Linked DNA regions of Neurospora crassa OR74A. The protein of the gene in region 1 interacts with the protein of each later gene in a biochemical or structural test. Links are inferred from orthologs where the notes say so. Each region holds a gene or a part of one and is shown on either strand. Other genes may lie near its edges.

Region 1 (4,247 bases):
AGTGAAACTGTATTATAGCTAGATGACAGCATGGATTTAAAGTCAGGGTACACATGTGGCTAAACGACTGAACAAAGCATATGCCTTTTTTTTCGTACCCATCACTGAAAATTTAGCTATTTTGGTTGCCATGGGGTTACCGCCACCGTCTTTCTCTAACCTAATCCTGTTCATATTCCATTACTTCCATGATAAAGTAAGAGGTGTAGTAGACGTACAGAAAACGTGCAGCATCAATCAATGTGTGAGACCACTACACTACGCTTTCGCCCCGGTCGACGCACTCATCCCTTCATTGTCATATTTTTCTTTTTTCCGTTCTTTTTTGATTTTCGCATCTTCGCTTCGCCTCATTGTCCATCGGTATCTGCCCACCTATCCACACCAATCCTCTCATATCCTCCAAGTAAAACCCAAGCCTCTTACCATCTCCAACCCGTCCTCCTCCTATTCGACCTCGAAGAGAGTAGTAAGTGGGAGACCAAAAGAGGGAAATTAAAAAAAATGTTCATCATCATACCTACCCTACCATACAAGGAGACGAGGTGAAGATATTAAGTAAAATAGTAGGCCCTTCTGCGCGGTTGCTTCGCTGGTGTGATAGAGTGAATCAGGTAAAATGCGCTGCGTCCTCCGTGTTGTTGGATCAGGAAGGCCGGCCTTGACTGACCCCTTGCCCGCTCGCTCGCTCGAAGACCCAGCGCCCACCCACCACCCCTTGTTCGTAGTGTAATCGTGAAAAGGCTTCCTTCCCCCGACTTTCACTCACTCAGCACAACACATCATCATCATTCTCGCTTTTCGGGGTGTCTCCCACGCTTGTCCTCAATGGCTGGGCTGTTTGCTTTCTCACAATTCCCGCCGTGCGCCATTTAGAGCAGGGAGTCAAGGCGAGTGAATACGCTCAAGCAAGCCGCCACGACTTCGAGCTGGAGTTCCTTGTCCTTTGCTTTGTTGACCTCCTGTTTGTTTGGTGAGCATATGTTAACTAAAATTCTCGCTTGAACAGTCCGCTCGGTTTTTTTTTTTGGAGGGGTTCTTTTTTCTCCCTCTTCCAACAGAACCTCTTGGATAAGAAATCATACAAACGTACCTCATTAATAACTTGCGGCAAGTTCGCCCCCACACCACCATTCCCACCAGGCAACGGCCTCGCCGCAAACGGCCACTGGCTGTACTGCAGCAACAGCTCGTCCGCCATGGAAAAGGCGTTTTCCCTCGCCTCGTGGCCGAGGGTACTCAGCGCGTTCTCGAGCACGTTGGCTGCGTGCGCCGCGCACACCATGGCGATTGTCCGCACGTACCGGAACTCGAGGTCCTCGGGCAGGTACTGGGTCGGGGTGAGCACGACGGTGCGCTGCGTCAGCACGTTGCGCACACGCCGTCGGATGTCCTCCTTGGCGGCGCCCTCGACGACGGGGTGTGTGGCCATGTCGAACAGTAGGAAATTGCGCTTTTCCGTGCGCAGGATGCCCTTGTCGACCAGACCCTTTGCGAGCCGCTCGCGGACTTGTTTCAGTTGGTAGCCGATTTTCATGAGGTTCCAGGTTTCGCCTGTGGTATTAACAGGTCATGTCAGCACGTTTGCTTCCGCTTGGGTGTGCACGATAGACATGGGGGGAATGGAGATGGGGCAGTGACGCAAACACGTACCGCTCATCAAGTCAATCCAGGAGCTGACGCTCATCTTCTCGCTCGTCTTCATCATCTTCAGGGCCTCGTCCAGCAACACCTCGCCCGTTAGAGTGTCGTCAATGACTTCGATGATTCGGTCCGCCAGGGGGAAGCGCCGCCGGGAAGAGTCTTTTTGCATACTGATGCGGCCGCGGAAGGCCAGCTCGAGAACAATGCATCCACGAAGAGCATAGGAGATGTTGTCGTTCCAGAACGAAAGGTAGCCCTGATGGGGGTTGTCTTGTTAGCCATGTCGTCTCTCGTCGTGCCCAGGTTCCGAATTCCGAATCATGAAAACAGTCCAAGGAGCAGCACGTGGCGAACGTCAATATCGAGTCCAGCCATAGTCAGAAGATAGCCCTTTGGTAGGCCCCTACAACATACAAAGGGATAGTGTAGCGAGCGAGACTGAGAGAAAGAGAGACGTGGAGACAAACCTCGCGATCCTTGATGCCAAGCAATAAGACCTCCTCCATCAGCGTTAGCTTGGGTTGCTTGCTCCTCTCTGCGCTCTCGCTCAGGTCGCGGGGATCGAAGGCAATCCTGTGTCCGTTCTCGCCCGTCTCGTAGCTCGTGTCGGGCCCAACGTCCCTCGTGTCGGAAGCGCCGCCGCCGCCGCCGCCGCCGCCGACGTCGCTGCTGCCTCCTCCCGCGCCCCTGCGCCGGGTCAAGCCTGATGTTGATGCCATCTTCTTCTTCTTCTTCGTTTTTTTTTTCTTTATCGGGGACTGTTTCTGATGTGATGATTGGGCGGCACGAAGCGAATGTGGTCGGCCGAGTTTGGGCGTATGTGCACTGGTATTATTTCCCCGTGTTTTCGCGGACAGGGGGAATTGAAATAATTTCGGTTTCGCGGTAACACGTGGGGATTAGGATTGCGGATTGGGGATTCGGTAGGCCTGGGTGTAGCCTGTGTTTCAGAGGAAAGGGTAAGGCCGACTAGTAGAGGTAGTAGCCTGGTCGATCAATTGTCCCGAACGTGGAGGTCCGTCCTTCGTTGTCGTCGTCGTCTGGGGGGTGGTGGGAAGCCGCTCTTCGGCGCGGCTCTTGATGATGCGAGTGTTTGTCGTTTCGCTAGTCTGTTGGTGTTCTCTTGGCTACCTCTAGCAGGACCGACGGGGGGGGGGATGGTTAGGTTTGGTTGAGGCTGAGTGGTGGACTCGGGTATGTAGAGGTACGTAGGTAACGGGTCGGTGCTCGACGGGTCCCTCTTTTGGTTGGCACAGGCAGCGCGCAGCAGTGCCGGACGCTGTTTTGTGCAGCGGTCAAAGAAAGAGAAAGTCCAGAGGTGGGATCCCGTCCTGGTCCGCGCGGCGGATGGAGTCTAATCGGGTCAAGAGCCAATCTCAGGGTCCAGTTCACCTGCGGCGCAAAGGGGTTCTAAGTATCAAACCTTAAACTTGGGTGCAGTTGGAGATGGCTAGGTTATGTGTTTCCTGTATATTCTGAATGGCCACGTTTTGAAACGGCTGTTTCTTTGTTCAATGCTACCGAGGGATGAAGTCATTAACCCCTTCCAAGCTTCCCTTGTGGAACGGAACACGGGTTGCTCCGATCATGATAAAATCGTGTAGCATCACCTAGAATTATGTCGGCTTCCAGGCGCCGTGTTAGTGCTTTGATTGCGAATAAAGTAGAGTCCGACCACCCAGCACTAACAGCACCTCATTTCACAGCTGGAATTTAACGCCTACACCGGAGAGCGCCTCGGTATCAGACAAGCAAGAAAGGGAAGCTATGCGTCTCACATCACCAATTCAAGTCACCGGACAAAAAAAGAGAAAAGACTCGGTGAGCTGATAATCACTTTTTAACTCCCTGAAGATGCTGCCTCGCTGAAGAAGAAGGGGGACCTCCAGCCCCTACCTCCTCCCTTCGCCACCACTACTAAAAGCTAGCTAAGTATAAAAGAACAAAAGACAAGGCTTGCCCAGCCTCGTACCATGTTAACCGCTTGTCGTGATCTGGTCCAGTTGTGATATGTACGTGTGATATAATCTCTTTTTCCATTCCGACCGTGCAAAGAAAAAAGAAACGAAAAACCATGAGGAAAAAAAACAAACGCCAAAAACACCACCTGTTACCCCCTTCCAGCAAGAAATATGTACGTAGCGACAAGGCAGAAGAATGGGAAAAGGATATGCCAGCCTCCCGAGCATCTGCCGCTATGCAGCAGCAGTGGTATCAACATCTCTCTCCAAAAAGACAAAACACCCCTTGCTGAACACCTTATCCGACGCTTATTTCTTCTTACCACCGAATCCGCCCTCGAATCCAGGCCTGCTCTTACCCTTGGAAGCACCTTTTCCTCCACCCTTACCGCCCTTGCCGCTCTTGACCTTGATGCCCATCTTGCGGGCCTTCTTCTCGTCCTGCTTCTTCTTGATGTTCTCCTCGCGCTTCTTTGACCTATCGTACTGGGCCTTGGCGACGCCCTCCTTGCGCTCTCTCCACTCATTGGCGCTCTTGCTCTTTGCCTTCTCCTTGCGCTTGACAGCCTTCTTGAGCAGGTGCTCGTCGTCGTGAACCTTCTCGCCCTCGGCACGCTTGCGAGCAGCGAGCCACGTCTCCTT
Region 2 (4,408 bases), on another chromosome or scaffold:
TTGAGAAGTTTTATGAGTGGGTGGTCGACCGCACTCCCTTCAAGGACATGTCGCCGCCCGACATCAAGGGCATCAACTGGGTCGACAACCTGCTGCCCTACATTGAGCGTAAGCTCTACACTGTCAACACCGGCCACGCGACGGCCGCCTACCATGGTTACATCCGCCGCAAGAGCACCGTCTATGATGCTCTCCAAGATAAGGACATCCAGGAAGAGGTCAAGAAGGCGCTCGAGAACACATCCCACCTCATTACGCAAAAGCACGGCATCGACGAACAGGCCCAGCACGAGTACGTTGAAAAGATTGTCAGGCGCATCAGCAACCCTCACCTGGAGGATGCCGTCGAGCGCGTGGGCCGTGCTCCCCTACGGAAGCTGTCCCGCAAGGAGCGGTTCATCGGCCCCGCAGCCGAGCTTGCCGAACACGGTAAGGACTGCAGCGCTCTGCTCGATGCTGCTGAGATGGCGTTCCGCTTCCAGAACGTCGAGGGCGACGAGGAGTCGGCCGAACTTGCTAAGATCATGGCGAGCAACAAGCCCGAGGACGTTGTCAAGCAGGTCTGCGGCTTGAACGAGCAGGAGAAGCTGTTCCCCAAGGTGGTCGAGGTTGTACAGCGCGTACAGGCCGACTTGCACGACGACTAGATGGAGCATTTCTGTCAACTTGTGTGTTTTGTATCCATTCTTACTTCATGTCTTATGATAAATGAGCGAAGACTTTACGGATAGGGAATAGGGCAACGGTGTCGTGGACCCTCGGAATCCGGAGAATATGGCGTTCATTTGGTTGCTTTCTGGGATATCAACGCGGAGCATTATACAACTGGGATCAATGGCGTTTAGCCGGGATCATATTGACATCCTGGAGGTTTTGGGTTTCCCTTTTTTCTTCTTCATTATTGTCTCTGCGCAATCACTAGAAGCGCTTTGCAATGATAGATATAGTTCAAGTCAATAAGAAGTACTCACACTCAATTCTTCTCCATGTTCCAGTAACGTTGTCGTATGCAAAGTGCGTCGAACTTGATCACTGCTTCGAGCTTTTTCTTTGAGCCCATATTTGGTGATTGCTGATAATGTTTTTAAGTAACGATGAAAATGGATGGGAGTACCGACTTGACGACTGACCGTCATCGGTCGCGCCTCCTGTTGCGTCGCTGAGACCTTTTGGTTTTGAAATACTCGTATCTTGCAAATTTGCTCGTGTGTGACACTCCTCCAAAATGTGATTGGGAATTGAGTCGTTCACAAAGTGACCGTTGCGTTGGTCCAAGCCTTTTGGTTTTTGACGATCTCCAGTGGTCGACTTTGGACGTGGTTTGGCGATGGTGATGGCTTCAAACACTGAATGCACCGACGGTGAGGGGGGCGCCAAGAGATCCGCAAAGCTGTAGTGTTGGTCGTTGCCTTAGGCAGCAGCTGGCGAGCGCAGGAAGTGACAGTGGCCGGCAGCTGTGCCCACTTGACCGCCTGAGGGAGAGAGTGGCCCGAGCGGCGAGCAGACCACAGCCGCGAAATTGTGGGCGGCGGCCGGTCGAGATACGTGGCGGGCACCTCTACAACCGTCCGCTGTCATTTCCGGCCCGTCGCAATCAAGTGTCAAGGCCTCCGAAGCCTCTATTCCGAATCCTCGTACCGCCAACCACGTCCCCCCCCCTTCGGCGGACCAGATATCCAATACACCAAATACATATAACCACGATTGCACCACTTCCGATAGCTTCACCCCTGACGAACCCGACGGCGGCTTTCTTGCACGGTCAGGGACCATCTCCAGCATCCAGCACGCACCCCACCTGAAGCTTGGAAGCTCGAGAACCGTTACGACCGCCCCGTCCTCTAATTCCAACTTGTAAACACCACACACCACACACCACACACCCACCCCAAACTCGCCCAACATGAGGCTGGATGTCAAGGCAAGTTCGCACAGGCTTCGTGTCTGCACCACCATGGCCGTGTCACCGAGACCCAACAGAACAACCCGATTCTGCAACCTGGCGCACACTTGCACCTCCCTTAGCTTCGGCCTGGGATCTTCCAGTTGCCCCTATTCCGTCTGCTGTACCGGCACCTCGACGGCCAGCTCCATTGCGCCGACACGTCCATCATCACATCGCTGCCTCCAACTGGGCCATCTCTCATTAGAAAACACCTGCTAACATGCCTGTCAACATGCAGCGCCAGTTGTTTGCCCGCTCTGAGGTTCGTTACCTGTCCTCTTGACCCCCTGATTTCTCCGGTACCAAGCAGTCTTTCAACATTCAAGGTTCCCATTGCTCACCCATATCCCGCACATAGCGAGTCAAGGGCATCGACTTCCATCCTACCGAGCCATGGATTCTGAGTACGTCTGATTCGACTCGCGATACGATGGGAGGGGCCCTGAATTCTGACACTACTTTGGTGATTAGCGACCCTCTACAGCGGCCACGTCTATATCTGGTCATACGAGACACAACAAATCGTCAAGACCTTCGAGCTTACCGATGTCCCCGTCCGCGCTGGTCGCTTCATTGCGCGAAAGAACTGGATCATCTGTGGTTCCGATGACTTGTATGTTCGACATGGAACTTGGGCTAGAGCTAGACAGGAAGGCTGACCTGGAATCCCAGCCAAATTCGAGTCTACAACTACAACACGAGCGAAAAGATCACATCCTTCGAGGCGCATCCCGACTACATCAGAGCCATTTGCGTCCATCCTACACAACCCTTCGTCCTTACCGCCAGTGATGACATGACGATCAAGCTTTGGGATTGGGAGAAGGGATGGAAGAACGTGCGGGTATTCGAGGGCAACTCACGTATGGCGCCACCAGCCTGATACATCGAAGCAGAGCGCGCGTGCTAACAGAGCTTCAGACTACGTCATGTCCCTCGCCATCAACCCCAAAGATACCAACACCTTTGCTTCGGCATGTTTGGACAGGACAGTCAAGATCTGGAGCTTGGGTTCATCCACACCAAACTTCCAGCTTGAGGCGCACGAGACCAAGGGCGTCAACCACGTCGATTACTATCCCCACAGCGACAAACCCTATCTTCTCACAACTTCTGATGACGTGAGTTATATTGACATCTGCTGGCGCATAGGACTTCACAGCTGACTTTACTGGCACAGCGCACGGTGAAAGTGTGGGACTATACCACCAAGAGTTTGATCGCCACTCTTGAAGGCCACACCAACAACGTATCCTTTGCCTGCTACCACCCAGAGCTCCCTATTATTATCTCTGGTTCGGAAGACGTACGTCGATATTGCACCTGTCCACTCGCTCGCAGGCTATTACTAACCGTAACCGCAGGGCACGATAAGGATATGGAACGCCAACACCTACAGGTTCGAGCAATCGCTAAACTACGGCCTGGAGCGAGCATGGTGTGTGTCATATCAGAAGGGCAAGCAGGGTATTGCTGTTGGTTTCGATGATGGTTCGGTGGTCATCAAGCTTGGTCGGGAAGAGCCCGCTGTGTCGATGGATGGCTCCGGCAAGATCGTGTGGGCCAGGCACAATGAGGTTGTATCTGCCGTGATCAAGGGTGCTGGTGAGTTACAAAACGGAACATCGAGAGTGACTCCGAGCTAACAGGGATCAGATGCCGATATCAAGGACAACGAACCTATCACACTCACCACCAAGGAGCTTGGAACCGCCGAGGTGTACCCCCAAAGTCTCATCCACTCTCCCAATGGTCGGTTCGCTGCTATTTGCGGCGACGGCGAATACATCGTTTACACTGCGCTCGCCTGGAGAAACAAGGCATTCGGTCAAGCCCTCGACTTTGTGTGGGCTTCCAAGGAGTATTCCAGCACAAACGAGTTCGCCATTCGTGAGTCTCCCACCAGCGTCAAGATCTTCAAGAACTTCGAGAACAAGGTCGGCGGTCTCGACGTCCCATTTGCTGCCGACGGTCTTACCGGCGGTGTCCTCCTCGGTGTCAAGGGCCAAGGTGGCATTTCCTTCTACGACTGGCGGACGGGTGGACTTGTCAGACGCATTGAGGTGGAGCCAAAGCAGGTGTACTGGAGCGAGAGCGGCGAGCTGGTTGCTCTTGCCTGCGAAGATAGCACCTACGTCCTCAGGTTCTCGAGAGAGAACTATAACGAAGCGGTCCAGGCTGGTCTTGTCGAGGATGATGGTGTTGAGGCTGCGTTTGATGTCGTTACCGACATCAGCGAGAGTATCCGTTCGGCGGAGTGGTTGGGAGATGTCCTGATCTACACCAACAGCACCAACCGTCTAAACTACTTGGTTGGCGACCAGACTTACACCATCGCCCACTTCGACAAGCCCATGTACATCTTGGGTTACCTCCAGCGTGATGGCCGCGTCTACATCACCGATAAGGACCTTAATGTTACCTCTTTCGCGCTCTCGCTTCCCGTTTTGGAGTACCAGACTC

What was found.
Region 2: the proteins of NCU06091 (region 1) and NCU07319 form a complex in vitro, tested with the Saccharomyces cerevisiae proteins (2 studies listed by BioGRID). The link is inferred for Neurospora crassa OR74A from reciprocal best matches to the Saccharomyces cerevisiae genes VPS74 and SEC27.

What each region holds. Positions count from the first base shown.
Region 1 is NC_026507.1:1,844,767-1,849,013, forward strand, and holds NCU06091 (vacuolar protein sorting-associated protein 74), read right to left. Parts: upstream 3,112-4,247; 5' UTR 2,364-3,111; coding exon 2,112-2,363; intron 1,901-2,111; coding exon 1,654-1,900; intron 1,555-1,653; coding exon 1,094-1,554; intron 963-1,093; coding exon 873-962; 3' UTR 65-872; downstream 1-64. Other genes in the region: NCU06090 (hypothetical protein), read right to left, coding at 3,915-4,247.
Region 2 is NC_026504.1:4,379,308-4,383,715, reverse strand, and holds the start of NCU07319 (coatomer beta' subunit), read left to right. Parts: upstream 1-1,566; 5' UTR 1,567-1,903; coding exon 1,904-1,921; intron 1,922-2,183; coding exon 2,184-2,207; intron 2,208-2,303; coding exon 2,304-2,349; intron 2,350-2,416; coding exon 2,417-2,558; intron 2,559-2,617; coding exon 2,618-2,808; intron 2,809-2,866; coding exon 2,867-3,066; intron 3,067-3,125; coding exon 3,126-3,251; intron 3,252-3,309; coding exon 3,310-3,550; intron 3,551-3,601; coding exon 3,602-4,408. Other genes in the region: NCU07318 (mannitol-1-phosphate 5-dehydrogenase), read left to right, coding at 1-647. UniProt on the Saccharomyces cerevisiae protein: The coatomer is a cytosolic protein complex that binds to dilysine motifs and reversibly associates with Golgi non-clathrin-coated vesicles, which further mediate biosynthetic protein transport from the ER, via the Golgi up to the trans Golgi network.